4 linked regions of the Elephas maximus indicus genome follow. The protein of the gene in region 4 interacts with the protein of the main gene of each other region in a pairwise test. Links are inferred from orthologs where the notes say so. Each region holds a gene or a part of one and is shown on either strand. Other genes may lie near its edges.

Region 1 (7,858 bases), on a different chromosome or scaffold from region 4:
TTCACTCAGCATAATGCCTCCCAGGTTGCTCCATGTTATGAAATGTTTCACAGATTCATTGCTGTTCTTTATCGATGTGTAGTATTCCATTGTGAATAGATCATAATTTATCCATTCGTCTGTTGATGGGCACCTAGGTTGCTTCCATCTTTTTGCTATTGTAAACAGTGCTGCAATAAACATGGGTGTGCATATATCTGTTCGTGTAAAGGCTCTTATTTCTCTAGGATATATTCCGAGGAGTGGGATTTCTGGGTTGTGTGGTAGTTCTATTTCTAACTTTTTAAGGAAACGCCAGATTTCCAAAGTGGTTGTACCATTTTACATTCCCACCAGCAGCGTATAAGAGTTCTAGTCTCTTCACAGCCTCTTCAACATTTATTGTTTTGTGTTTTTTGGATTAATGCCAGCCTTGTTGGAGTGAGATGGAATCTCATCCTAGTTTTAATTTGCGTTTCTCTAATGGCTAATGATCGAGAGCATTTTCTCATGTATCTGTTCGCCGCCTGAATATCTTCTTTAGTGAAGTGTGTGTTCATATCCTTTGCCCAATTTTTAATTGGGTTGTTTGTCTTTCAATTTTATTTGGGTTGTTTATCTTTTTGTGGTTGAGTTTTATGAGCATAGGTGTTTGATTTTTAGGAGCTCCCAGTTATCTGGTTTCTCTTCGTCATTTTTAGTAATGTTTTGTATTCTGTTTATGCCTTATATTAGGGCTCCTAGCTTTGTCCCTATTTTTTTCTTCCATGATCTTTATCGTTTTAGTCTTTATGTTTAGGTCTTTGATCCACTTGGAGTTAGTTTTTGTGCATGGTGTGAGGTATGGGTCCTGTTTCATTTTTTTGCAAATGGATATCCAGTTATGCCAGCACCATTTGTTAAAAAGACTATCTTTTCCCTAATTAACTGACACTGGGCCTCTGTCAAATATCAGCTGTTCATATGTAGATGGATTTATATCTGGGCTCTCAATTCTGTTCCATTGGTCTATGTGCCTGTTGTTGTACCAGTACCAGGCTGTTTTGACTGCTGTGGCTGTATAATATGGTCTAAAATCAGGTAGAGTGAGGCCTCCCACTTTCTTCTTCTTTTTCAGTAATGCTTTACTTATCCAGGGCTTCTTTCCCTTCCATATGAAGTTGGTGATTTGTTTCTGCATCACATTAAAAAATGTCATTGGAATTTGAATCGGAAGTGCATTGTATATATAGATGGCTTCTGGTAGAATAGACATTTTTACTATGTTAACTCTTCCTATCCATGAGCAAGGTATGTTTTTCTGCTTATGTAGGTCCCTTTTAGTTTCTTGCAGTAGTACTTCGTAGTTTTCTTTGTATAGGTCTTTTACATCTTTGGTAAGATTTATTCCTAAGTATTTTATCTTCTTGGGGGCTACTGTGAATGGTATTGATTTGGTGATTTCCTCTTCGATGTTCTTTTTGTTGATATAGAGGAATCCAAGTGATTTTTGTATGTTTATCTTGTAACCTGAAACTCTGCCAAACTCTTCTATTAGTTTCAGTAGTTTTCTGGAGGATTCCTTAGGGTTTCCTGGGTATAAGATCATGTCATCTGCAAATAGAGATAATTTTACTTCTTCCTTGCCAGTCCGGATGCCCTTTATTTCTTTGTCTAGCCTAATTGCTCTGGCTAGGACCTCTAGCACAATGTTGAATAAGAGCGGTGATAAAGGGCATCCTTGTCTGGTTCCCGTTCTCAAGGAAAATGCTTTCAGGCTCTCTCCATTTAGAATGATGTTGGCTGTTGGCTTTGTATAAAAGAATGATGTTGGCTGTTGGCTTTGTATAAAAAAAAAATTTTTGTATAGATGCCCTTTATTATGCTGAGGAATTTTCCTTCAATTTCTATTTTGCTGAGAGTTTTTATCATGAATGGGTGTTGGACTTTGTCAAATGCCTTTTCTGCATCAATTGATAAGATGATGTGGTTTTTGTTGTTTGTTTTATTTATATGGTAGATTACATTAATAGTATTTCTAATATTGAACCAACCTTGCGAACTCTGCAGTGAAGCTGTCCGGGCCAGGGCTTTTTTTTGTTGGGAGTTTTTTGATTACCTTTTCAATCTCTTTTTTTTTTATGGATCTATTTAGTTGTTCCACTTCCGATTGTGTTAGTTTAGGTAGGTAGTGTTTTTCTAGGAATACATCGATTTCTTCTAGGTTTGCAAATTTGTTAGAGTACAGTTTTTCATAATAATCTGATATGATTCCTTTAATTTCAGTTGAGTCTGTTGTGATATGGCCCATTTCATCTCTTATCTGGGTTATTTGTTTCCTTTCCTGTATTTCTTTAGTCAGTCTGGCCAATGGTTTATCAATTTTGTTAACTTTTTTTGAAGAACCAGCTTTTGGCTTTGTTAATTCTTTCAATTGTTTTTCTGTTCTCTAAATCATTTAGTTCAGCTCTAATTTTTATTATTCGTTTTCTTCTGGTGCCTGATGGCTTCTTTTGTTGCTTGCTTTCTATTTGTTCAAGTTGTAGGGACAGTTCTCTGATTTTGGCTCTTTCTTCTTTTTGTATGTGTGCATTTATCAATATAAATTGACCTCTGAGCACTGCTTTTGCTGTGTCCCAGAGGTTTTGATAGGAAGTATTTTCACTCTCGTTGCATTCTACGAATTTCTTTAGTCCCTTCTTAGTGTCTTCTATAACCCAGTCTTTTTTGAGCAGGGTATTGTTCAGTTCCCAAGTATTTGATTTCTTTTCCCTGATTTTTCTGTTACTGATTTCCACTTTTATGGCCTTGTGGTCTGAGAAGATGCTTTGTAATATTTCGATGTTTTGCATTCTGCAACGGTTTGTTTTATGACCTAATATGTGATCTATTCTAGAGAGTGTTCCATGTGCACTAGAAAAAAAAAAGTATACTTTGCAGCTGTTGGGTGGAGCGTTCTGTATAAGTCTACAAGGTCAAGTTGGTTGATTGTAGCAATTAGGTCTTCCATGTCTCTATTGAGCTTCTTACTGGAAGTCCTATCCTTTTCCGAAAGTGGTATGTTGAAGTCTCCTACTATAATTGTGGCGTTGTCTATCTCACTTTTCAGTTCTGTTAAAGTTTGTTTTATGTATCTTGCAGCCCTGTCATTGGGTGTGTAGATATTTAATATGGTTATATCTTCCTGGTCAATTGTCCCTTTAATCATTATGTAGTGTCCTTCTTTATCCTTTGTGGTGGATTTAACTTTAAAGTCTATTTTGTCAGAAATTAATATTGCCACTCCTGCTCTTTTTTGATTGTTGTTTGCTTGATATATTTTTTTCCATCCTTTGAGTTTTAGTTCGTTTGTGTCTCTAAGTCTAAGGTATGTCTCTTGTAGGCAGCATATAGACGGATCGTGTTTCTTTATCCAGTCTGAGACTCTCTGTCTCTTTATTCGTTCATTTAGTCCATTTACATTCAGCGTAATTATAGATAAGTATGAGTTTAGTGCTGTCATTTTGATGCCTTTTTGTGTGTGTTGTTGACAATTTCATTTTTCCACTTTTTTGCGCTGAGATGTTTTTCTTTGTAAGTTGTGTATTCACCATTTTCATAGTAGTCGAATTTATGTTTGCTGAGTTGTTATGTTTTTCTTGGTTTTTATTTTGATTTATGGAATTGTTAGACCTCTTTGTGGTTACCTTAATATTTACCCCTATTTTTCTAAATAAAAACCTAACTTGTATCGTCCTATATCACCTTGTTTTCCTCTCCATATGGCAGCTCTATGCCTCCTGTATTTAGTCCCTCTTTTTGATTATTGTGATCTTTTACATAGTGACTTCAATGATTCCCTGTTTTGAGCATTTTTTTCTTTTTAAAATAAATCTTAATTTGTTGTTGTGATTTCCCTGTTTGAGTTGATATCAGGATGTTCTGTTTTGTGACCTTGTCTTGTGCTGGTATCTGATATTATTGATTTTCTGACCAAACAATTTCCTTTAGTAATTCTTGTGGCTTTGGTTTGGTTTTTGTAAATTCTCTAAAGCTTGCGTTTATTTGTAAATGTTTTAATTTCACCTTCATATTTGAGAGAGAGTTTTGCTGGATATATGATCCTTGGCTGGCAGTTTTTCTCCTTCAGTGCTCTATATATGTCATCCCATTGCCTTCTTGACTGCATGGTTTCTGCTGAGTAGTCTGAAGTTATTCTTATTGATTCTTCTTTGTAGGAGACTTTTCTTTTATCCCTGGCTGCTTTTAAAAGTTTCTCTTTATCTTTGGTTTTGGCAAGTTTGATGATAATATGTCTTGGTTATTTTCTTTTTGGATCAGTCTTATATGGGGTTCGATGAGCATCTTGGATAGATATCCTTTCGTCTTTCATGATGTCAGGGAAGTTTTCTGCCAACAGATCTTCAACTATCCTCTCTGTATTTTCTGTTACCCCTCCCTGTCCTGGAACTCCAATCACACGCAAGTTATTCTTCTTGATAGAGTCCCACATGATTCTGAGGGTTTCTTCATTTTTTTAAATCTTTTATCTGATTTTTCTTCAACTATATTGGTGTCAATTGCCTTATCCTCCAGCTCCCCCACTCTGCATTCCAATTGCTCGATTCTGCTCCTCCGACCTCCTACTGAGTTGTCTAATTCTGTAATTTTACTGTTAATCTTTTGGATTCCTGAATGCTGTCTCTCTATAGATTCTAGCAGCTTATTAGTTTTTCTACCGTGTTCTTGAATAATCTTTTTGATTTCTTCAACTGCTTTATCAGTGTGTTCCTTGGCTTTTTCTGTAGATTTCCTTATTTCATTTCTGAGGTCATCCCTGATGTCTTGAAGCATTCTTTATATTAGTTTTGTATATTCTACATCTGGCAATTCCAGGATTATATCTTCATTTGGGAAAGATTTTGATTCTTTAATTTGGGGAGTTGTAGAAGCAGTCATGGTCTTTTTCTTAATGTGGTTTGATATCAACTGCTGTCTCTGAGCTATCTCTAAGATATTGTAATGATTTATATTTGCTCACTGAGTCTTATCTTATTTTGTTTTCTTTCATTATATGCAGATGGGCTACTAGATTGCACTGTCTTGATTGTTGTAGCCTTTGAATTGCTTATGTTCTATTACCGGCTGGTTTGGGCTGTTACCAGATATGTAAGCCTAAGAGTCCATTCACTATTCTTGAATAGAATCAGCTTAGGTGTTTTGATTTTGGGTCACCAAGTGTGTGGTGTAGACTGTCACCTATTAACTTAGAGGAGTAGTGGTGATAGTTGTGTGCACCAGATTCTAGTAGCAACAGGGGGTCACACTCCAGGGGGGCTGGTTGCTGACAGCCTTCCCCCACATGCCAGTGCGGTAGGTGTGTCTCTATTCCTAAAGCACTTTGGTGGGTGGGCTCTGCAGCTGTACCTTAGGCACCCAATGCATGTACCTCTAAAGATTGGTAGGTGTCAGTATCCTCAGACCCCTTTGGCAGGTGGCTAGGTGGTTTGGGTGGAGCTTCAGCCCTCAGTTCCCTGTTGTGGATCAGTGAGGGCTCTGTTTAATAGGTAGAGATATCAGACCTGGAAAACTTGTCTTTCCAGTGATCCACTAAAACAATTACAGTCAGATCTCTATTAGAATTGCCTTTGCATTATAATAGCCACCTTGTTCCCTGTAGGGATGAAAGCCAAAGACTGTGGATCTCATATGCTTGGCTGGAACTGGTTCTGTATTTTTATTCCAGTTTAGGGAAGTTACGGAAGGATTTTTCATCCCTGGGTTTTTAATAGCTGCTTCTCTCAGGCCAGGAGAATGGGTTAGGAAAAGACAAAAAAAAAAAAAAAAAAAACAAACAAACAAACCACAGAGCACTTCACTCCCTGGCCCAGGAAATTCCAATGTTAATGAAGCCACCTGGGGCAGAGAGGGTAGGGATCAGATAGATAGGAGAGAGTAGCACCCAGCAATATAGACAAAGTTACTTATCTTGCTTGGCGATGACTGTTTTATCTGAGATTCCCTGAGGGACGGGGGGCGTGTAGCCTATGTGTGCTGGCAGGGTCGAGATTGCCCCCGAGGGTCAGACTGGCTTCCTGTGCTTGTGCTGTCTCAGAAGCTGTGGTCAGCTCCTCCGCTCCCAGTCCAAAGCCCAGCGCCTCCCGGTGACTTCTCCTCTTGTCAGCCACGTTGTTGCGCTGCTGGCATGCGCTGGCTGGGCTTCCCCCGAGGTCACTTCAGGGGGCTAGGGCTGCGTCCCGTGTTTGCACCACCTCAGGAAGCCATGCTTAGCTCCCCTGTGCCCGGTCCAAAGCCTGGCACCAAGGGTTTCTGACTGGGATGCTGGCTGTAGGCTCTGAAAACAGTCGCTGCTTCCCTGTGGTTGCTCGTTCTCTTGTTAGCTGCGTCAGTGTGCAGCCTGCTTGTGCTGGCTGAGTCTCTACTGAGGTTACCCCAAGGAGCTAGGGGTTAGGGCTGTGTCCCGTGCCTGCCCCGCCTCAGCAAGCTGCAGTCAGCCCCACCACTCGGCACCAGGGAACTGCGAGGGCTCAAGGCTGTGGAGTGGGACGCAGGTTCCAGAGGTGGTCGCTGCTTCAGGGCACAGCTTTTCACTCCCCTGTCACTCAGGTCAACTCTTTAGATCTGTGTTTGATGGTCAGGGTTCGTAGATTGTCATGTATGTGATCGATTCACTTGTTTTTCTGAGTCTTTGTTGCAGCAGGGATCCGAGGTAGCTTTTACCTAGTAAGCCACCTTGGCCCCGCCCTCCTGCTTAACCTTTTTGCAAAACCTTTAAAAGTGTTTTGCAGTATTTTCAGGTTTCTGCCTGCCGAGGATTGACAAGCCTCTGTCACCGTGTGTTCCAACCTACGGATGCCCTTCCAGGGGTTTTTAAGACATTTACATGATTGTATTGCAACACTTACGAGTAATTTACAGAAGAACAAATGCCCACGCCAAATAAACACAACGAAAGAGCTTTGACATCACTGGTAATCAGCAGCATAAATGTTAAGAGACTATCAAGTCGGCAAATGTTTTAAATGATAATACTCACTGGGGATGAAGTCGTGGCGAGGCTAGTGCTTTCAGACACAGCTGGAAAATGGAAACATTTGAGAAACTGATTTCATAGCATGTATGAGTCTTAAAATAGGTTATATCTTTTGACCTATAAGTCTGCTTCTGGAATTTAGCCTAAGGAACCAATCAGAGAAGAGCACAAAGGTACAGTGTACTGCAGCATTACATAGGATATAATGGAAACGACGTTACATGTGATTATATGTCATCACATAGGATATAATGGAAACAACAGGTACGTGTCCAGCGGTAGAGCTGGCTAAGTACAGTATAGATCATCAACCGTTACAAACACGCATCCCTCTGATTCCAGTCCGGCACTTTGGGATTCTTTCTAGCCTGCGCCCTTTTCGTGTTCCTACATCCCTTTTCCAGTAGTGACAAACCTGGTTCCTCCTGTCTTCTGACTTCGGGATTGTGCAGATACTTTCCTTCTGCTCTTCCAGTTCCACCCCCTTCTCCAGTCACTCTCTCGAGGTAGACTCAGCCTGTGTACAGTGATCGGCAGGCTCCCTGGCCCTCTGCTCCTGGTGGATGGAGGAGAGTGAGGACAAAGCCATTTCTCCTGGGCTCCTCCCTGCCAGGCAGCAGAGGGTCAGCTGGATCCTTCTACGAGGTGGGCCCCTCCGTTCAGCAGTGCTTGTGCCTTCAGCCCCTCCAGCCTAGGACTGGTACTTTATCATTCCTTGGTGGCGTCCCTAAGCGCAGCCCTCGCTTTTGTAGATAATCCCATTCTTCAACTCCTTCCGAATTCCCACTTTGTGACTGATATTAAATATCAGGCTTTAAAAACAAGCAAAAAAACCCTTTCCCTAGGGCATTTCATAAATATCTGTGT
Region 2 (7,098 bases), on a different chromosome or scaffold from region 4:
GGGTGCGAGGAGGGCAGACCACCGAGTTTCTTTTGAAAAGTCTGGAGTGATGCTTGCAGAAGTTCAGAGCAGGTCTCTGAAGCCAAAAACACAGGGCTCACGCTGATCTTTGCCCTTTCCTGGTTCAGTGACCTTATGGGAAATGATTTCATCTCTCTGAACTCAATTTTTACACCTACAGACTGGGGGTTGTAATCACACACCTTGGCGAGTTGTGAAAAGGATTAAAAGAGATGATGTATTAGCACTTGGCACTGTGCCTGGCCCGTAGTGAGTACTCCATAAGTCGTAGTGGTGGTTGTTTGGGACCTCCCACACTCCCTGTTTGGAGACCACCATGCGTTGTCTTATCATCAACTGTTGGCCTTCTGCCTAGTACACATGTGGGAAGCAGAGCCCCATTTAGGGTAGAAGGTCTGACCTCAGGCCAGAAGGAGCTTTGGGGAAATTCTCATATGGCTGAGAACACCCTCTTTGCCTTTCCCATCTTCATCTTTCTTCCTACCTGGAATTCAGATACCATGGCTGGAGACCAGGCAGCCACTTTGGATCATGAAGATACCTTGAGGATAGAAGCAGAAAGTTGGAAGGAGCCTGGATCCCTGTGGCCATGGTGCTACCAGGGCAGCCCTGTATTGCCTACCTCAAGCTTCTTTCTCATAAGAGATAAATAAATCTCTAATCTACATAAACCATTGTCATTTAGGTTACCTGTTTCATCTAACCAAACCTAATCTTAACTGTCCGCATTTTGCAGATGACGAGAAAAACGAGGCTCAGAGGGTGAAGGTCACACAACTTAGCAAGGGCTAAGTCAGTATTCTAATCGAGGTCTCTGTAGTTCCTGTCCTGTTATTTTAACAAACCTTTTGCCAGCCACAACGAGAGGGTCCCTCCCTCCTGGGCTATCTGCATACAAGCTGTCCAACATGACCAGGGCTGAAGGGGCAGAGGAAGAGCGAGCACAATCACAGAAGGCTTCACAGGGGAGATTATGTCTGAGTTGAGTCTTAGAGAATAAGATAGTAATAATAACTGAACCACTCTACCAACCCTTCAGGCAAGACACAAGTCCAAGACGCCAAACTGTGGCCCTGGGTGAGACACATCCATTGGGTCCAGCCACAGCATTAGGGCAGATGTCAGAGGTCCCCAAGACCACCCTCAATTTGGGTGATTTCCTAGGAGGACACACAGATCTCAGCTTTTGATCATACTTAACAATGAGGACTTATTACAGTGAAAGGACACAAAGCAAAGTCAGCAAAGGGAAAAGGCACCTGGTACGAAGTCCAGAGGAAACCAGGAACAAGCTTCCAAGAGTCCTCTTACAGTGGGATCACACAGAGTGTACTGTGTGATTCCAACAAATCGCGCTGATACGTGTGAAATGTTATCTACCAGGGAAGCTCATTACAGACTCAGCACCCAAGGTTTTTATTGGGAACAAGCCTCGTAGCCACCCTTTCCCTAGCAAGTACCAAAATTCCAGACTCCCAGAAGGAAAACAAAGGTTCCGCATAAACTGTAGATTTGCACAAACACTTTAGGCACAGGGAATGATGGGAACCATCCCGAAATCCAAGTTCCCAGACCCAGCCAAGGGCCAACCTTGCAAGCCAGCTTTTCTCTGGATAGCAACCTCAGGCCTGCTACATTAACTCTTTCTGCGCAGAGCGTTACGCCTTTCTCCCCATTTCTCTTTTTGAAGTGCCCCAGGAAATAGTTTGTGGTGCCTCAGACCCAGATTTATTGAGAAAACTCTAGTTTACCATAGAGATAATTTCAACAAATTTCCTAGAAAATAACCTTGAGTTGTGTGAGCACCAGTGGGGGAGGAGGGAGTCCTACGAACACTAGACTGGGAGTCAGCTGGGCTAGCTTTTCATCCTGAATGGGCCACTAACTCAAGTTCCAACTTGGAGAAGCACATCCCTGAAATGAGCCTCAGTTTCCTCTTCAGTGAAATAAAGGGGTTGGATTCCATCTGCATCAGTGAGCTTTTGCTGCATAGTAAACCGCCCTGAAAATTGGTAGCTTAAAACAACAAGAAGTTATTATTTCTCACAGATCTGTGGGATAGCAATTTGGGCTGAGCTAAGTTGTTCTTCTAGTCTTGCCTAGGCTCACTCATGAGGTTGGGGCTGGCTAGCAGCCAGGCCAGCCAGACATTTCTCCTCATGGTCACCATCCTCCAGCAGGCGACCCGGGGCTTGTTCTCATAGCATCTGGGCAGCGGTCCAAGAGCAAGAGTGGGAGCTACCAGGCCTCTTAAGGCCTAGCCTTGAAAGTCACGTAATGTAACTTCTGCTAAATTCTATTGGCCAAAACAAGACACAGGCTGACCCAGATTCAAGAAATAGACTCCACCTCTTGGTGGGAGGAGCAGCAACGTCACTGTGCAAAGGGGTGTGGATACAGGGAGGGGTGGATGCTGTGGCCAGTTTTTTTGCATCTACCATTCTACCTCCCCTGTGTTTCATTCACTCATTCCACACTTCTACACCCTCTATGTCCCTGGGTGGCACAAATGGTTTGCACTTGACTAACAAGGAACCCTGGAGACATAGTGGCTAAAGTGCTCGACTGCTAACGGAAACGCCAGCAGTTAGAAACCCAGTGACTCGGAGGGAGAAAGATGTGGCAGTCTGCTTCTGTAGAGATTTACAGCCTCAGAAACCCTACTGGGTCACTATGAGTCAGAATCGACTCGACAGCCGTGGGTTTGCTAACCTAAAGGTCAATGGTTTGAACCCACCCAGAGGCACCGTGGAAAAAAGCCCTGGTGATCTGCTTCCATAAAGATTACAGCTAAGAAAACCCTATGAAACAGTTCTACCCTAAAACACTTGGGGTCACCATAAGTCGAAATCAACTTGACTGTAACTAGTTTGACGTTCTCAGCATTTTACCAGACACTGAGACACAAAAGCAAACTTGTCCTCATGGGGCCTCCACGCAAGTGAAAGAAAGTTGAGGAAACCAACATGTGCCATGAAGTTATGGCCAATGAGCATTTATTTTACAGATATTTCTTTACATCACACCCTTCTCCGTAAAGGACTTGAGTCAAACTGCCAGAAAAGGCACAAGCATAAAGCTAAGAATTTTAACTAAAGAAGAAAATTAAGACCAAAAGTGAAAAGAACGTAGTGTTTACTAAATACCTGCTATGTTGCAAACGTCTCACACACATTGTCTCGCTCTATCTTTTCCATATTTCTGATGTACATATTATAGTTCTCCCTTTTATAGGTGAGTAAACTGAGGCTTGCTGTGGATAATGACATGCTCAATTCACACAGGTCCTAAGTGGCAGAGCTGGGAGTCTAACGACTGAGTCTGGCCCCAAAGTCCACGTGCTATTGTCATATAACTGTTATGTATACCCAAAACCCATTGCTGTCAAGTCAATTACAACTCATAACGCCCCTACAGGACGGAATAGAACTGCCCCACAGGGTTTCCAAGGAGTAGCTGGTGAATTCGAGCCACCAACCTTTTGGTTAGCAGCTGAGCTCTTAACCACTGAGCCACCAGGGATCCTTTGAGTATACTATTGTGGTAAATGAGCTTCAGATTTGGCTGTGAGCTTCCCAGCAGCCTGGGGGAAAAAGGAAACTGAACCTAATACCCAACTGGTCACTAGACAGAAAACAGCCAGACATTTCTGTGAGGGGAAGCAAAGTCCTTCCTAGCCTTGAAGTTTGTTTGTTTGTTTTTCAAGTAAGCCTTGATAAAAGCGGGCCTGTGGGATGGACTATACAGGGCCTGGCTTGGACTGTCCAAGCTGGGTGAGGCTTTGTGGTTTCTATGCTGAATGAATGCCTATTGTCCCTGGAGAAGGCTGTGTCCTGTAGTGACTATCTGCCTCTGCGTGTGTGTGTGTGTGTGTGTGTGTGTGTGGTATGCTTCTCTGTGTCTCACTCTTTCTCTTTTTATCTGTCTCTTTCCCCTCTCTCCCTCCCTCGCTCACACACAAAATGCAGAGTCCCTGCTACTCGAAGCTCTGCTGGTTTTTAGGAAGTGCTGCTGTGTCTGGAGCCTGCGCAGCAGACCTGGGGGCCAGGACTTCCTCTCCACACAGGGCTGGGCTTGGGGGGAGGGAAAGGGCCTGCCGCAGCTGAGGTGACGCATCACTGCCAGGCAAACCCAAGCAGCAGCTGGGTCAGCAGGCAGCAGGAGCACAGGCCACCGTTCCCCTGGGGGTTTCAGAATGGACCTGTGCCACCCAGGTAAGCACCCAGAAGGGCAGGGGTCCAGGAGAGAGTGTGAGAGTGTGGGTATATGCAAGAGCTTCACCAAGCAGGACCAGGAATGGACAGGGGGCGTCGGGGGCCAGGTGGGAAAGAAGCTGTCCCCTGTTCCAGGAGGGAAGCTGGAGTGGGCGCACCCACAGAGACCTTCGCCTGACACCCATTGTATTGCGAATGTTGGTGCTGAAGGCTCTGCAGAAGGGGCTTGTACTAGTGGGCGTAGGCCCAGAGAGGGTCAGAAGCTTCCCAAAGGCACACAGGGCAGCAGAGAAGGAATTAGAACCCAGCACCCAGGGTTCCTGCTGCTGTCCTGCCACCTCTCCAGGCATCAATGGGTGAGCTCTCTGCCAGTGGGCAGGAGGGGAACAGGGTCCCCAAGAGCCCTGCTGGGTGCTCCCCCTTCAGCACGACTGCACCTGTGCAGGAGACGGTATAGCGGCACTGTGCTCCAGAGGACCGACCAGCTCTGACAGAGCAGGCCTGGCTCAGAGGGAGGCTTGTCCCCACCAGTGGGAGCACTGAGGGGGAGGGGGCACCTTGAGATCAGGAGGTGGGCTGTATTTCCCTCTCGGACCAGAGTCTGCTTCAGCTGCTCCCCAACTCCAGACACCTGGAGCCCCCCAAATCTGCTCCCCTAACTTGAAAGATGGGTCCCTTGATCAGCTTCCAGCCACCTCCCTAGTATCTGCTTTCTGAGCCCAGGTAGGGAGCTCTTAGCCTGTGGGGAGTGTCATGGGGGCTGGGGGGGGGGGCGGTGGGCACCTTGGCCACATCCTGCCAGCCAGGCCACAGCACACACCCAAGAGCGGCCATGCACGCCACTGGGGAGCCAGGAGCTCTGGACGGGACCCATCTGCTAGGTGGCAATCTTGGGTCTATCCCATCCTGTGAGGCCTGTCAGTTCTCCTAACTCATACCAGCTTCATGACCTCTATAAAGGGACTGGTGTCTCATTTAATGGAAAAGGAAACTAGGCTCAGTGGGTAAAGTGACCCGCTCACTACTATGTGGGAACAAGGCTCTGGATCCCCCAAGTCCCTGGAGGACTTTTCCAGACTTTGGACCATTCTGACCTGCTAACTTGAGACCCTGAGGGCACACTCCAGGCTCCCAGGCCTGGCTACAAATTCCCTCCTCCACTCTCTTGCTGTGTGGTGGATCCTGTGCAAGACAGCCAGTGTCTCTGGGCCTCAGTTTCCTCTTCTGTAGAATGGGATAACAGTGCCTGCCTCACAGGGTCCTAGGAGGATTAAATGTATAAATAGATATAAGACACTTGGGGTACCCAACGACATGCAACATATGTTTGTTCAGCTCCAGTTAGGTGTGAAGCTGTGTGGTAGGCAAGGGGGTTCGGCTGTGAACAGGCAGGCACCGTCTCTACCCTCATGGGCTGACACTCCAGTGGGAAGGCAGACAGCAAGTCTATTTCGTGTAATCTGTCACTTGGTGACAAGCAGGATGAAGACCAGTGAAGAGAAGGGAGAGGGTGGGCCTCAGGTGGAAACGCCATTTGAGCAGAGACCTGAAGGAGAGGATGGGGTGGATGCGTGGGTTTCTGGGGAAACACATTCCCAGCAGGGACCAGCCAGTTCAAAGCCCAGAGGTGGGACTGAGAATGGTAACTTGTGATGATGTTGGTGGCGACGATGTCTGTGTGGTGGTGCAAGGGCCCTGGGGCCCCAGTTTGGCTCTTGGTGTGTAGGGGGTGGCCTTTGGGGAGACTGATGGCAGAATCAGTGGGGAGGGGCATGCTGGGAATGAGAAGCAAAGGACCATGCCCACAACCAGGACGCCGAGTCTGGGGCAGAAGAGGAAAGGCTACTGTGAAGTTGGAAGAGGAGAGAATGGGTCAGGCTTGTGTCTCTGTGAGGCAGAAGGCAAGGTGGAAAGAGGGGCGAAGTCCCTGCACCCTGAGTCTCAGAATGTTCTAGCATTGCCTAGCATTCCAGGACATAAGGGCTGGGAGGAGCTATCCTGTTTCTCAGGCCCAGATGATGTCAACTTTGCTTAGCAACAGCACACTCTCTTTAAACAAAACCTAACAGAGCAGTTGTGACCCCACCCACTGGGCCCCCCACCACCCCCCACCAGAGGTGGAACCTGTGGGTTCCAGGGAACACAGTTAGAGAACCAGTGATCCACTCCATTCCATGGATCCCATTTACAGATGGGATGAAGGAAGCTGAGACAGGGAGGCAGTCTTGGCCAAGGCAGAGGTCAGACCACACCCCCATCTCCTGACCCTCTGTCCAGCGCTCTCTCCTCCACCCCTGCTTCTCCTGTGGCTCTTGGTGGCAGGTGGCTCACACACCGTCCAGGCTCAGTGGATACATCTTAGATGCAGCTTAGAAGGCAAGAGGAAACTCAGTGAAGGGCAGTGCCTTGCCCAAGGCTACCCAGCAAAGGAGTGGCAGAGCTGACATGACGGTGAGATGGGGCAGTGAGGCCATCCTGCCGAGAAATAACACCCCCACTGCCTCTCTGGCCACCATTAGTGCTCCGTTCTTTTGGGTCTTTGCATCCTGAGGTCCTTAGGGACAGCGTCGGATGTCTCCATGACACCGATGAGGAAACAGGCTCACAGAGGTGACCTGGAGAAGAGGCCTGACTGGTCAATGTCACAGCGCCAGTAAATGACAGGGCAGGGACAAGAACATGATGAGCTGGGAGAAGAAGGGCCCCCCAAGTTAGCTTGGGCTTAGAACGGGGGGCGGGGGGGAGGGAGAGAAGGAAGGAGCAGCCAGAAGGTGAGTCACTACCTTGCTTCAGGCTGGCCCTAGGAAGGCAATCTGTTGGGAGCTTTGGGGTCTCCACTAATGAAGTCAACTCAGGCAATCTG
Region 3 (7,571 bases), on a different chromosome or scaffold from region 4:
CCAAGGGCACAGTAGCTGAGAGGTCCCTCTGACAGAAGAAGGGAGCTCATACCTTGGGGGTGGGGGAGGAGTGAGCTGAACCTTGCCCTCCAAAATCTTGAAGTTCAGCTCAAATCAGAATTTTCTGTGTCGGTTTCTTTTCTTTTTTCTTGTGGTAATATATATATAACAAAAAATTTGCCATTTTAACCATTTTTAAGTGTACCATTCAGTGACATGAATTACACTCACTGTATTGTGCAACCATCACCACCACCTACTTCCAAAATGTTTTCTTCTCTCCAAGCAGAAACCCTGTAGCCATTAAGTAATAACTCCTCATTCTCTCCTCTCCCCATCTCCTGGTGGCTCTAAGCTACCTTCTGTCTTTATGCATTTACCTGTTCTAGATATTTCATGTAAGTGGGGTCATACACTATTTGTCCTTTTGTGTCTGCCTTCTTCTACTCAGCATCGTGTTCTCAAGATTCATCCACGTCGTGGTGTGTATCAGAACTTTATTTCTCTTTATGGCTGAGGAATATTCCATTGTGTGAGTAGACCACATTTCACTTGTCCATTTGTCTGTTAATGGACACTTGGGTTGTCTCCGCCTTTTGGTTATTGCGAATAGTGCTGCAGTGAACATTGGTGTTTCTGTATCTGTTTCTTAAGCCAACTTTTTACTTTTTACAGAGATGACAGCTGGAAGAACTCTTACTGGAAATGTGACAAAACCAAAGACAGTCATTAAGCATCTTCATTGATGTTGTCATCCAGAGGTCCAGAAACATTTGTTTTTGCTTAGAAATAGTTATTTTGGGGACTTGTCAAAAATCCCACGTTTGGAACTGAATAATTCAAACTCTGACAGAATCACCTATAGGTGACACTTCAAGGGCCCTAAAGAATTAGGAAGACATTTCAATGTGTTTATAACTGATAGTATCTTTGAGTTCAAATCTCCACAAAGCACAGTGTCAAGTTCAAAGAATGTTCTCATATTTCCCAGTAGCTATGCAGTCATCTTCAAGATGACAAAGCAGATAGGAAGGAGATCAGGAAGCTACATCTGTGGGCTGGGACTTGAACGTGTATCTCCTGACTTCCAGGCCCCTTTTCTGTTACACTTTTGTCACATAAGCTGCCAAACATCTTATCTACACCCAGAGGGGTCCATAGTGCCTTTCAAAGAACAGGAATGCTGGCTGCTTAATTCCTGAGATTATTTGGAGACTCAGCTCTTTGTCTGGAATCATCCCACAACCTTGAACAAAAAGGTGAATGCTGTCCGTTTTGATGGACCACAGCAGAGGGATCCTTTGATTCCATGGATAATTTGCAAACATAAAACAGTTGCCGGGAAATTATATTAGATATGAATGATCTCCTCCATTATGACATTTGCTTTTCTTTAACACAATTTAGATGGAAAATGAACGGAAAGGTCTGGGGAAGGGGGGCACATTCACTGCTGCAGGAGGACTTGCTGGAAGCAGGATATGGAGTGAGAAAGATATATAGAGAAGATTTGTAGCAGAGGCAACCTGAGGTCTTCTGACTGGGAGACCTGTGCTTAGGGTCCTGGCTATGCCCTGGGAAATGGAATTCAGCGCTCTTTCTCTCATTTCTGTGTGTCTGCATCCTAAATCCAGGGCAGCTGGCAGCTTTTCAAGGGAGATTAGAGCTAAACTAAGGAGCCCTGGTGGTGCAATGGTTAAGTGCTTGGCTGTTAACTGAAAGGTTGGTGGTTTGAACCCACCCAATGTCTTGCAGGAGAAACACCTGGCAATCTGCTTCGGTAAAAATTATAGCCTAAAAGGAGAATGAAGAACACCAAAAACGTAAGGAAAATATGAGCCCAAGAGACAGAAAGGGCCACATAAACCAGAGACTCCATCAACCTGAGACCGGAAGAACTAGGTGGTACCCGACTACTGCCAATGACCGGACTGACAGGGAACACATAAGAGAGCTCCTCATGGAGCAGGAGGAAAGTGGGGTACAGAATTCAAATTCTAGTAAAAAGACCAGACTTGGTGGTCTGACTGAGACTAGAGGGACCCCAGAAGACGTGGCCCCCGGACTCTCTGTTAGCCCAGAACTAAAACCATTCCTGAAGCCAACTCTTCAGACAAAGATTAGACTGGACTATGAAACATAAAATGATGCCGGTAGAGAGTGTGCTTCTTGGCTCAAGTAGATACATTAGACTAAATGGGCAGCTCCTGTCTAGAGGCGAGATGAGAAGGCAGAACGGGATAGGAGCTGGTTGAATGGACATGGGAAATACAGGGTAGAGAGGAGGAGTGTGCTGTCACATTACAGGGAGAACAACTAGGGTCACATAACAACATGTGTATAAGTTTTTGTATGAGAAACTGACTTGAATTGTAAACTTTCACTTAGACCACACACACACACACAATTATAGCCTAAAAAACCATGTGGGGCAGTTCTACTCTGTCACATGGGGTCACTATGATTGGGAAATCAACTGGATGGCTCCTGACAACAACAACAAAGCTAAACTTTCAAGGGCACCAGAGGCCAGGCTGGCCCACCTCTTCCCATGTGAAAGGGGAGGGAACCCAGGTGTGCCGGATTAGGATTTGGGTACTACCTTATGGGAACACGCGTTTATAAAGCCTTATACCCTGTTCATTTCCAAGTGCAGTCTTATTGCCAGGAAAGGAGAAGAGGCTGCATTGTATATCAGAAAGCTTGACAGGCTGGAATAATTCCGAAGGCCTGTGGCGACCTTACATTTCTTCTTCTTCTTTTTTAATTTTCTTGTGCTTTACATGAAAGTTTACAATTTATACACAAACTGTTTTGTGACATTGGTTACTATCCCCAAAATGTGTCAGCATTCTCCCCCTTTCCCTTTACACCCTGGGTTCCCTGTGTCCAGTTTTCCTGACCCTTCCTGCCTTCTCAGCTTTGCTTTTGGGCAAGTGTTGCCCATTTGGTCTCACATACTTGATTGAACTAAGAAGCACATTCCTCACGTGTGTTATTGTTGTTTTATAGGCCTGTCTAATCTTTGGCTGAAAGGTGGACTTCAGGAGTGGCTTCACTTCTGAGTTAGCAGGCTGTTCAGGGGCCATAGTCTTGCGGGTTCCTTCAGTCTCTGTCAGACCAGCAAGTCTGGTCTTTTTTTGTGACTGAAGAATTTTGTTCTACCCTCTGTTGTGATCTCTGTCAGAGTGGTTGGTGGTGGTAGCCAGGCACCATCTAGCTCTTCTGGGCTCAGGCTGGTGGAGGCTGTGGTTCACGTGGTCCATTACTCCCTTGGACTAATCTTTTCCTTGTGTCTTTTTTTTTTTTTTCTTTCTTTCATTCTTCTTTGCTTTGTTAGAGATGGGACTAATTGATGTATCTTAAATGGCCGCTTGCAAGCTTTTAAAACCCCAGACACTACTCACCAAAGTAGGATGTAGAATGTTTTCTTTATGAGGTATGTTATACCAACTGATCTAGATGTCCCCCAAGACCATGTTCCCCAGCCCTCAGCCCCAGTAACTCAGGCCCTCAAGGTGTTTGGAAGTGTCTAGGAAGCTTCTATGAGTTTGATTTGGCCAAGTTGTGCTGACTTCCCCTATATCGTGTGCTGTCTTTCCCTTCTCCAAAGTTAACACTTATCTGCTATCTGGTCAGAAACCCTGGTGGTGTAGTGGTTAAGAGCTACAGCTGCTAACCAAACGGTTGGCAGTTAGAATTCACCAGCTGCTCCTTGGAAACCCTACGGGGCAGTTCTGCTCTGTCCTATAGGGCTGCTTTGAGTCGGAAATGACTTGAGGTCAATGGGTTTGGTTTTTTGGTTTTTACTATCTAGTCAGCGATTTCTCCTCCCCACCCCTTCCCTTCCTTGTAACCATCAAAGTTTTTTTTTTTTTCCAGCGTGTAAATAATAGTGGTCTCATACAATATTTGTCCTTTTGAGATTGACTTATTTTGCTCAGTGTAATGCCCTCTAGATTCATCTATGTTGTGAAATGTTTCACGAATTCATCATTGTTCTTTTTTGTTGCATAGTCTTTCACTGTGTGTATGTACCATAATTTGTTTATCCATTCATCTGTTGATGGGGACCTTACATTTTGGGGGGCCCCAAGGGGAGGGTCTGACTTTCCAGGACGTTCATTTCTGGACCTTTTTTCCTGAGTGCAAGTGCGAGGAGGACGCCTCGCCTGAGTTTTGTAGAAGGAAGCACTGCAGTGTCCCAGACCCCACATCTGTTCTAAGGCTGCTGGGACCCCATTTCACCCTCGCCTGGCCGCAGCCTCCGGATCGGAGGAGACGCCCAGGAGCGTGGGCCGCTGTCAGGACACCAGCCACACTCCGGCAGGGGGCGGGGCCGAGCACCCTGGGGCTCCGCCCACCGAGGGGCGGGGCCTATGCGTCACATGACGGCGGCGGGCTGCGGGCGGCTGAGGAGGCTCCACCGGCCGAAGAGGCCCCGCCCGGCTGAGGGGGCCCCGCCCGCCGAGGAGGCCCCGCCCGCCGAGGAGGCCCGGGCCGCGAGCCGGCCGCCGCCGCGCTGCTGGAGCCGAGCCGGCAGCCCGCGCGCTCCGCACCGGCGGCGCCCCCGCCCGCGGCCCCTCGCCCGGCGGCCCCGGCGTGCCGGCAGCGGGAGTCGCCTCAAGATGGATGAAGGCGGCGGCGGCGGCGGCGGCGGCGGCGGCGAGGGCGGAGGTGAGTGTCAGAGGTGTGGCGGCTCGGCCGGCGGCCTGGGCGGAGGTCCCGGACGGGCCCGACGAGGGCGGCCGGGGCCGGGGCGGGCGGTCGGGGTCGGCCTGAGGAGACCGGGCGGGGCCGGCCGCGGTCGCCGCCGAGCCCGAGCGAGGGTCCCGGGCGAGGCGGGGGTGCCCGGGCGGCTCGAGCCGAGGCCGCGGGGTCGCTGCTCCGGGCGGGAGTCCCCGCGGGCGACCTTCCCCGTATCCCGTCGCCAAGGGCGTCCACGCCCTCCGGGGCCCCGCCGCCGCTGGGGCTGACCGGCGCCGGTTCCTTTCTCGGGCGGTGGGAAGGGGCTGAGCCGTGGGGAATGGGGCTCCGCCAGGGTCAGAGGAGGGAGCGAGGGTTCAAACTCAGAATGAACACTTTTCTCGGCTCTGGGTCCGACGTGGTCTCTGGAATTGCTTGTGGGGCGGAGGACAGCGAGATTACAGGTGTGGATAAGCGAAAAATAAAAAAGTGGCAGAGCCGAGGGCTTGAGTAAGGAGCTACAGCCAGCGGCAGGAGTTCGACACCGGCGACCCCTTTCCTGTCGCCTCTGGGGAAGGACAGCTTTCCCAGGTGGGTCGTGTCCGTGGCAGGGTGGCCCAGGTCGTCTGTGTTTGACGTCCTGTCACCTCGAGCAGCATTTGTTGTGAACTATTTAGTGGAATACGGTACACCGTTGTGTGATGGGATGTATTGCTGCGAATTGCTTTTTTAAAACCAAATAATGTGTCTGCCTGGATTGGGACATTGGTTTGGAAAAGTACAGGATTAATACGCATATTTCACAGGGACACCCGAGGTCGAGGTTCTCTATACTTTTGTTCAGGATACCCTTTTTGCTGACAGACCAAATGATCAGAAGAACCCCAAGTCATAGGCGAGCGTTTTTTGAAAAGTCCTAATTACAGGCTGCTTAGCAGTTGCCTGTAAGAATCAGCAGGATTGAATGCTTCAGGATGAAGTTAATCAAGGTGCCTTCTAGAATTTAAGTGCTGCACCGAGGGAAACGTTTTTTTTTTTTTTTCCTGAAAGCAGCAATGTGGCTGTGATGGTGGGAAGTTGGCACAAGTCACAGCGTTTGAGAGTTCAGTGCGCGGAGTTAAAGCTAGCGATAGCACTATGGCACCAAGTGGGTGTGTTGTTTATGAAAGAAAGTGCTGTGCAAAGAAGGAGCCCAGTTGCAAACCCTCCTACAGCCAGGCTGTCGGTCTGAAGACACAGGATTCTAAGTAATGGATTCCCTGTGGATACAGCGCTTCCTGCCCATCACTCCTTGGAGGACACAACATAGCAGGCATAGCCGTTTTTCTTTTTTAGAAAATAAAGACAATTGTAACATTCAAACTTTTTTTTTTAATGAAATTTTATTGCATTTCAGTGAAGGTTTACATGGCAGTTGAGGTTCCCATTCAACGGTTTCTACCCAAATTGTTCAGTGACATTGGTTACATTCTTTATAACGCATGAACATTCTCCTTATGTCTATCTGGTTCCGTTAACATTTAACTGTTTGATGTTAGAGTTAAGGTAGCTCGACAGACATGGAAAGGTGCGTCGGACTCCGTGAGCAAAGAGATGTAGAAGACTTGAAGGTAAAAGCAGATATAAAGAGAAAAAAAGGGAGCCAGAGTCCTGGAGCAATTTATAGGTCTTGAGTCCTATAACAAAGCCTGACATTAAATATCCAGAGTGTTAGAGCTTTCTTTGGGCTATTAATATATCAAGGAGCCCTGGTGGTGCAGCGGGTAGGTGCTCAGCTGCTAATCGAAAGGTTGGCGATTTGAACCCACCAGCGGCTCCTTAGGAGAAGGACATGACAGCCTGCTTCCTTAAAGACTAAAAAAAAAAAATTTTTTTTTTTTTTTTTATTACAGCCTAGGAAAACCCTATGAGGCAGCTCTGCTCTGTCCTATAGGGTTGCTGTGAGTTGGAATTGACTTGACGGCAATGGGTTTGGTTTTTTGGGAGGAATATATCACAAGGAAACAATCTTGAAATTAAAAAAAAAAAAAACCTTATTCATGAAGATGTACATCACACTATTTATAATAGTAAAAAATTAGAAGCAGCGGTGCCCAACAGTAGGGGAATGTGAGGTAAATTAGGGGAAGCTTATTGGAGGAAAATAATTTACAGGCATTAAAAATAGTGTTGTTTTATAAGTAATGGTCTAAACAATGTTAAAACTAGTGTTACCATGGATGGTTTATTTTCTTAGTTTATGTATTTTCCAGATTTCTGGATTAAGCATTAATTACTTTCAAATTTTGAGGGAGAAAGACAAAAAATGGACTCGCTAGTGGGAAAGGTATATGATTGCTTCTAATATATAATTTAATTCACCTCACTGGAACATTCAACAATGAACAGATATTTATTGATTTCCTACTAAACTAGCAGCCTGCTAGGTGCTGGAAAACAACTTCTGACCTTTATTGATTTGGTTTATTAAAATCTTGTATTGTGAAAGACCCTTAGCAATATTTATTTTTGAATCAAGTGAAAATCTTTTTCAAAAGTTTCAAAATAAGAATCATTGTATATAGATTATTGTATAAATTCTATGTGCTTACATTTAACTCTTGATCGTTAGGGCCTTAGAACCTGACAGACCTCTTACAGTTCTTTACACTTATTAACGCCATTTAGATTTTTAAAAAATGCTTTGTTTTAAAATTCACGTTTTAAGATAAAGTTCAGCCCTTTAGCAGATATTTCAGTCAGTTGCCAAACAATTGTAAAATATAACCTCTTTGGTATATTTTTAGAACAAAGTACGCAAAGTTTCAGCTTGCTTAAAAGGGTGAGTAATCTATTTAAATGGTAGTTATAGCAGAGGCCAAAGATAATTTGTAAGGTCTTATTTG
Region 4 (7,263 bases):
AGAAATATATGGAACAAGGGTGTGTGGGAGAGGTGCTAGATTCGTACAGACATTCAATTAATTTTCCTGTTTCCAGTTCCATCACTTACTTAGATTTTCTAGCTTCTCTCGGCTGTTTATGTCTCAGGGATTCTGAACCACAGATAGGCAGTTTCCTCCACCATGGTTGTCCCCTCCTTACTAATGGTGGGTTCCCTGCTCTCTTTCATCTGTTACTGCTCCTCCTTCTATTTTCCATCTTCCAGAAATCTGTTGTGATCTCTCTAATGCTCTTCCTTCTTCTTTTTTAATTTTTATGTGTATTTGTATTTTTTTTAAACTTTTCCTATCATTTTAAGGAGTCCCTGGGTGGTACAAAAGGTTAATGCATCCTGATGGTAATGGAAAGATCGGAGGTTCTAATGCATCCAGAGGTGCCTTGGAAAAAAGGCCTGGCGATTTAATTCCAAAAAATCAGCCACTGAAAACACTATACAGCACAGTTCTACTCTGCCATACATGGGATCCCCATGAATCAGAACTGACTTGGGGACAGCTGTTTTATTTTTATTTTAAAGGGGTCTTGGAAAGGAAGGAAGGGGGCAAAAAGGTTCTGTCATTAGCCCACCATCTTGAATTAGAAGTCCAATCTCCTTGAGGATTACTCCAATTTTATACATCAGGGGATCTATACTTAAAGAATTTAAGTGACTCCAACCCTGACCCCATAATTATGAATAACATGCCCTTTGATGATGGCATCTAAAAATCTAGTGAGAAACAAGCCTCTGCTATTGATGTTACTAAATACCTTAACACCATCTAACACTTTTTGGATGCCACATAAAGCAAGGAACTAGGGCAGCAACTCATGTGGGGAGAAGATGAGGTCGTAGTTCCCAGAAACAGAAGTTCACAGAAATGGGAAGCCATTGAGAGAATTTTATTGTGTTTCTGGTCAAAATGTACAGCATCTTCTTTTTCTTCTTCTACTCCTCTGCAAATTTAATTTAAATTATCTTCTTGTGGAAAGAATATAAAGACAATGAGAAGAAGTCAGAAACCAGAGACTGAAGCAGTTTTCAAACTATGATCTATTCCTCAAAGGTCATAGCTTTTTACCAGATACTAACTTTGTTTATATAGTATCTCTTCCTCTGACTCCCCAATGTTATTTATTTTTAACACAGTTTTTTTTTTTTTTTAATTGATATTTGGCTTGTGAGGTATGGGGTATGTTGGGACGTAGGCCATGTTTAATCTATAAATTAAAAATCTCCTGGCCATTAAAAGCCAAGACATAAAACATGCCATACAAAGGATATCCACTTTGCTTTTAGAAATGTTGTCCATAATCTTTTGCAAGTTACATCGACAATCAAGGGACACTGGTTTCTGTCTGGAATGCCAGATGTTACAAGCATATCATTAAATTAGGCAGATCTAAGGTCAATGGAATTCTTTACTTCTCTACCCTGAATGATCCTTTTCTCCTTGGGCCCAGTTATCTGCAGGCCAGGAAACAGACCATCTATTTGCCCCGGCCCAAGCTGTTTGTTACGGATCGAATTGTGTCCCCTAAAAATGTGTGTTAATTTGGCTAGTTCATGATTCCCAGTACTGTGTGATTATCCACCATTTTGTTATCTGATGTGATTTTCCTATGTGTTGTAAATTCTACCTCCATGATGTTAATGAGGTGGGAATAGCAGCAGTTATATTAATGAGGCAGGACTCAACCCACAAGATTAGGTTGTGTCTTAAATCAATCTTTTCTGAGGTATAAAAGAGAGAAGGAGCAAGAGAGACAGGTGGACCTCATATCACCAAGAAACAAGAGCCAGGAGAATAACCCTAGATCCAGGTTCCTGCACTGAGAAGCTCCTCAACCAGGGGAAGATTGATGACAATGACCATCCCCCACAGCCAAGAGAGAGGGAAAGCTTTCCCCTGGAGCTGGCACCCTGAATTTGGACTTCTAGCCTCTTGGACTGTGAGAGAATAAATTTCTGTTTGTTAAGGCCATCCATTTGTGGTATTTCTGTTACAACAGCACTAGATAACTAAGACACAGTTCATACTTAAAAGCAAGCTAGAAGAAGTGATCTGCCTTTATACCATGGGGGTTCCCTGGGAGCTACAGGCAATGAAGTCCTGCTGGCAGGGTAGGATTACCCTGTAAGCAAGGCATGCACAGGCCCAGTTGTGCCTTCTCACCAATCTGCAGTGTACAATTTCACCTATCTCCTACATGGCAAAGATGTGGTGAAACCCATGTGAAATTGCTCACCACAGGTTAGCAAGTAAATACAATCAACCCCATACATGCCAGTGTATACCTTGCTTGCTGGTCAATCCACCCCTGCCTGCTGGTCAGTTTTAGGAAACAGCAGATTCATTGAGTGTCTCAAGAAGGAATGCCAGGTGTCCAGAATTCTGATCCTAATGGGATGAATGCTTAAAGTGACTATGTAAAGCCACAGAGAAAGGTCTAAATCTGTGCTTGGCTTATAGCCTTCTCATGCTTGTGGTTAGGTGAACATTCATCCCTCGGAATCGATTCGATGGCACTGGGACTGGGTTATTGACATTGCATCCATTACCTTCCAGATTCTTGGTTAATTTTATAGTTTAGGTTTTTGTTTGTATGTTAACTGGTCTGTTTCTTGGAGATGGAATGATGGGGATCATTAGTTTCTAGGCCTGACCAGTGTGAGCTTGGTAATGACTAAGGTAGGGTGCCCCAAATATCATGCCTGGATGAAAGTCTCAGACGTTGTCTCAGAGGTATAACTATATAAATGATTTTACCCTTAGATGGGACTTCCCTTTTGCTCATATTTGGCTTGAGAGGTGCAACTTGAGTTTAGATAAAAGTTCTACACAGTATGGTGGGCAGACTTCTGAGGTAGTCCCAGTGACCCCACCTCCTGGTCTTCACATCTTGGATGATCCTTTCTCTTGAGTATAGACTGAGCCTAGTGAGTCACTTCCAACAAAGAGAATATGAAATAGAATATGGCAAAAGCAGAGATATCACTTTTGAGAATCAGTTACAAAAGTGACTTATGTCTTTCTCATACTCTCTCCCGTTTTCTTTCACGCTCTCATTTGTTCTCTCTAATGAAGCCAGTTGCCATGTTTTGAGCTGAGCTAAGGAGAGGTCCATATGGGGAAGAACTCAGGGTGGCTTTGGGCCAATAGCTAGCATTGGACTGAGAACCTCAGTCCAGTAGCCCGTGAGAAACTGAATTCTGCCAACAACCACGTGAGTAAGCGTGGGGGTGGATCCTTCCCCAGTCAGCCTTGAGATGACCGGAGCCCCAGCTGATACCTCATTGCAGCCTATAGAGACCCAGCTAGGCTGTGCCAGCTTCCTGACCCACAGAAACCAGGTGATAATAGAAGTTAGTTGTTTTAAACATCTAAATTTGGGGATAATCTGTTATGCAGAGATAGATAGCTAATCCACATGCTAAGGATACAGCTACTACATTTTGGAAGACTATGCTGGCCTGTTTCTAATGGTTTATTTCCTTTTCTTTGAAAGCAGAGAATAAATAAAGTGAGACAGTATGCTTTCCCCAAGAAAGTATAATGAAAAGATGCTGATGTTGAAAAGGAGAGGTTAAGATAGGCCTGAGGCAGGGTGAGGAACATATTGGAGTTAAGTTCAAATATTTTTAACTTTTAGCCAATTTCCTTTTCTAGCGTGTGGAAGAAAAGCTTTGATTTTAGAGAATCTGTTGTGAGTGCTGGGAAAGAACGGTAGACTAAGACTTATTTTTATCTTAAAATGCTTTTCACAAATTTATCAGTGCCCTCTTTATTGAGTAAACTGTTATGCAGAGTTGGGAGAGGTCAAGGAAGGGAAACTGTGAGGGAAATGGGAACCTGAATGGGGTTGATGGTTAACAAGTGGCATCTCAACCTACCATGATGAAAATGGCTCTACAAATGATCTCACCCTGCAAGCTTGGGAGAAAACATCTTTGCCTCCAAAACAGGAAAGTGAAGCCATGTCATAATGTTTTGTATATGTGTCCTGGGAAGGGATACACTCGGTAGTGTTTGGTGACAAATGGAGCCAGACAGCTAGGGTGTGCCTGTGTTGCGTGCATTGTGTCCTGCGTATTGGAATCAAGGAAGGGCTCAATAATGATAAGAAGGAAGAACAATGAAATTGAGGAAGTAAGATGACACTTCCTCTTCTTTCGCAAGAGCTTCATTCTCTGGTCAAATTCTAATGGTAGTCCTGTGTAGACTGAGCTGTGAAGCTGGAGCTGCTTAGAGAGCAGAACCCTCAGCCTCTGCCTCAGAGTATTATGAGTGCTGTGAACTCAGGTACAAAGAACCAGCTCTTGGATTTACTCTTTTTCTTGCATGTAAGTAAAGTCACGCCTTGGCTGATGTCTAAGAAGTAATTGCTTGGCCTATCAAGATGGTAAAGCAACGGATACCTTAGCACGAGCTTTAGAAGAGTGAGTTCTGAAATGTGGCTCTTGGGATACAGCATTCACCCAGCTCTTCATAAACCTGCTGCTGTCAAGTCTAGTGCTAAAGGCGCTCTTGAATTTTGTCAGGGCTTTGAGGGAGACTCATGTACTCACTCTGCTTTTCTCTGTTTCTTAAATGGACGTTATATTGATAGCTGCTTGGGCTGTAGACTATGGGTTTGATTTAGAAAAGCACAATTCAGCATCGGTTTGGGGCCTGAGGAGTTTATTTGGGGAAACACCCTGTTGTCACCCTCTTTTGAGAAAGTGTGTTCTTTGTGGCTATCCCCCCTTTGTATGTAGGTGGCAAGGAGCCCTGGTGGCACAGTGGTTAAAGCAATGGGCTGCTAACCTAAAGATCAGGTTTTGAACCCACCAGGTGCTGTGGGAGAAAGGGGTGGAAGTCTGCTTCTGTAAAGATTACAGCCTTGGAAACCCTATGGGGCAGTTCTACTCTGTCCTATAAGGTCACCGTGAGTCAGATTCACTTGGCTTTCTTTGCTTGGGTAAATATGAAAGAAATTTAATTATAGGAGTCAGAGTTACAACCCACAAGGGCATAAATAACTCCAGTAGTGGACTTCATTAGTCCCTAGGGGCTTGTGTGTTCTCAGTACTGTTGTAGGCAATGTGCTATTGTACAATACCCTAAAAAGGCAGAGTCTGAATCCTCCAGAGCTGTTTATTTTACATAGAAAACAGAAACAGAAAGAACACGCATTTATTTCTGCTCACATCATGCAAGTGAGGAGGAAGAGGACTTAAGTTTGTGTACTTGTTGACGTTCTCCTTCTTTAATTTGCCTTTTCGTATAGCATCTTTTTTAGAGAGGGTCCATGTATAAATTATTTCAGGCAAGCTGCATTAAGCAAATACACATCATCGGAATATGGAAATAGGAAGTTCTTTCCTGCGGTAGTTGGCTGTGGCAATAAGAGATAAAACATTACTTCACGACTATTGCCTGAGACTTTCCTTTTGACTCGTGTATCCTTCTTGAACAGCTCACTTCTGCTTTCCCTCCAGCTTGGAGGCCAGGCGGGGTGAGCTGGTAACCAGAGCCCAGGCTGACAATTTGCAGGTAGAGTTAATACAGCTAGTGGTGTATGCATGTGTGAAGAAAATCCTAAACTGTAAGCCTTTTGCTTTTGAAGAAAACCCTGTAAGGAATTACTTTACCCCTAGCACTGAGAACAGTGCCTGCCACATCATATGCTCTCAATAACTATTTGTTGAATGAATGAATGGGGTCTTCATAAAACGAATACATTTGGGTAAACGAAAGCCAAACCTATTGCTGTAGAGTTGATTCCGACTCATAGCGATCCTAGCGGACAGAGTGGAACTGCCACATATGATTTCCAAGGAGCACCTGGTGGAATCAAACTGCTGACCTTTTGGTTAGCAGCTGTGGCTGTTAACCACTACGCCACCAGGGCTTCCAAAAAACTAAACCCATTGCCGTCCAATGGATTCCAACTCATAGTGACCCTGTAGTGGTGCAGTAGCTGTCACTTTATTTCTGTTACCTATGCATACAGGGGAATGCAGGTTGGAAGAGGTCAGAGTGAAGTAGGACAGGAAGGGAATATGAAGGTGTTTTGTAGGAAATAGTTGATAAGACGCCCTACCTCAACAAAGTGAAAAGGGTGGCAATGTGATGGTGGTCGGATGGTGAAGGTGGTAGTTGTGGTAGAGGTGAAGGTAAAGAATGTGAAGGTGGAGGTGGTGGTGGTGATGGCTGTGATGGTGGTAGAGTTTGAGGGGTGCTGGAAGTGGTCGAGGTGGTGGCTGTGATGGTGGTAGAGGTGGAAGTCGTGGTGGTAGAGATGGAGCTGGTGGTAGAGATGGAGATGGAGGTGGTATTGGAAGTGGTGGTGGTAGGGGTGGTGTAGATGATGGTACAGGTTGTGGTAGTGTTGAAAGTGGTGGTTGAAGTGGTGGACTTGGTGTTGGTTGTGGTGGTGGAGAGGACAGTGTGATATAGCAGGAAGAAAACGTATTTTTGGGGTCAGACACATCTGTTCAAAGTCTGTGTCTGCCAGTTAGCAGCTATATGACCTCTAAACCTGTATAACAGCCCTGTTGGCTCAGTGGCTAAGAAATATGGCTGCTAACAAAAAGGTTGGCAGTTTGAATCCACCAGCCACGCCTCGGAAACTCTTTGGGACAGTTCTACTCTGTTCTACAGGGTCACTATGAGTCGGAATCAACTTGATGGCAATGGGTTTGATTTCAATGGGTTTTATACTTTACCAAGCATGATATTCTTCTCCAGGGACTGGTTCCTCCTGATAACATGTCCAAAGTACATAAGACGAAGTCTTACCATCCTCGCTTCTAAAGAGCATTCTGGCTGTACTTCTTCCAAGACAGATTTGTTAGTTCTCCTGGCAGTCCATGGTATATATTCACTATTCTTCACCAACATCATAATTCAAAGGCATCAATTCTTCTTCAGTTTTCCTAATTCATTGTCCAGCTTTCGCATGCATATGAGGCGATTGAAAATATCATGGCTTGAGTCAGGCACACCTTAGTTCTCAAAGTGAAATCTTTGCTTTTTAACACTTTAAAGAAGTCTTTTGTAGCAGATTTGCCCAATGCAATATGTCATTTGCTGCTTCCATGGGGATTGTCTGTAGATGCAAGTAAAATGGAATTCTTGACAACTTCAATCTTTTTTCTGTTTATCATGATGTTGCTTATTGGTCCAGTTCTGAGGATTTTTGTTTTCTTTATGTTAAGGTATAAGCCACACTGAAGGCTATATAGTCTTTGATCTTCA

What was found.
Region 1: the proteins of IPCEF1 (region 4) and CYTH1 interact in binary tests that used the Homo sapiens proteins (3 or more experiments, as listed by UniProt). The link is inferred for Elephas maximus indicus from reciprocal best matches to the Homo sapiens genes IPCEF1 and CYTH1.
Region 2: the proteins of IPCEF1 (region 4) and CYTH4 interact in binary tests that used the Homo sapiens proteins (3 or more experiments, as listed by UniProt). The link is inferred for Elephas maximus indicus from reciprocal best matches to the Homo sapiens genes IPCEF1 and CYTH4.
Region 3: the proteins of IPCEF1 (region 4) and CYTH3 interact in binary tests that used the Homo sapiens proteins (3 or more experiments, as listed by UniProt). The link is inferred for Elephas maximus indicus from reciprocal best matches to the Homo sapiens genes IPCEF1 and CYTH3.

Annotation. Positions count from the first base shown.
Region 1 is NC_064837.1:68,622,853-68,630,710, reverse strand, and holds the start of CYTH1 (cytohesin-1), read left to right. Parts: upstream 1-4,846; 5' UTR 4,847-7,858. UniProt on the Homo sapiens protein: Promotes guanine-nucleotide exchange on ARF1, ARF5 and ARF6. Promotes the activation of ARF factors through replacement of GDP with GTP.
Region 2 is NC_064822.1:181,132,348-181,139,445, forward strand, and holds the start of CYTH4 (cytohesin-4), read left to right. Parts: upstream 1-4,094; 5' UTR 4,095-4,216; coding exon 4,217-4,235; intron 4,236-7,098. UniProt on the Homo sapiens protein: Promotes guanine-nucleotide exchange on ARF1 and ARF5. Promotes the activation of ARF factors through replacement of GDP with GTP.
Region 3 is NC_064830.1:101,037,313-101,044,883, forward strand, and holds the start of CYTH3 (cytohesin-3), read left to right. Parts: upstream 1-4,564; 5' UTR 4,565-4,628; coding exon 4,629-4,677; intron 4,678-7,571. UniProt on the Homo sapiens protein: Promotes guanine-nucleotide exchange on ARF1 and ARF6. Promotes the activation of ARF factors through replacement of GDP with GTP. Plays a role in the epithelial polarization.
Region 4 is NC_064819.1:226,120,263-226,127,525, reverse strand, and holds the start of IPCEF1 (interactor protein for cytohesin exchange factors 1), read left to right. Parts: upstream 1-4,257; 5' UTR 4,258-4,304; coding exon 4,305-4,323; coding exon of another isoform or gene 4,324-4,364; intron 4,365-7,263. UniProt on the Homo sapiens protein: Enhances the promotion of guanine-nucleotide exchange by PSCD2 on ARF6 in a concentration-dependent manner.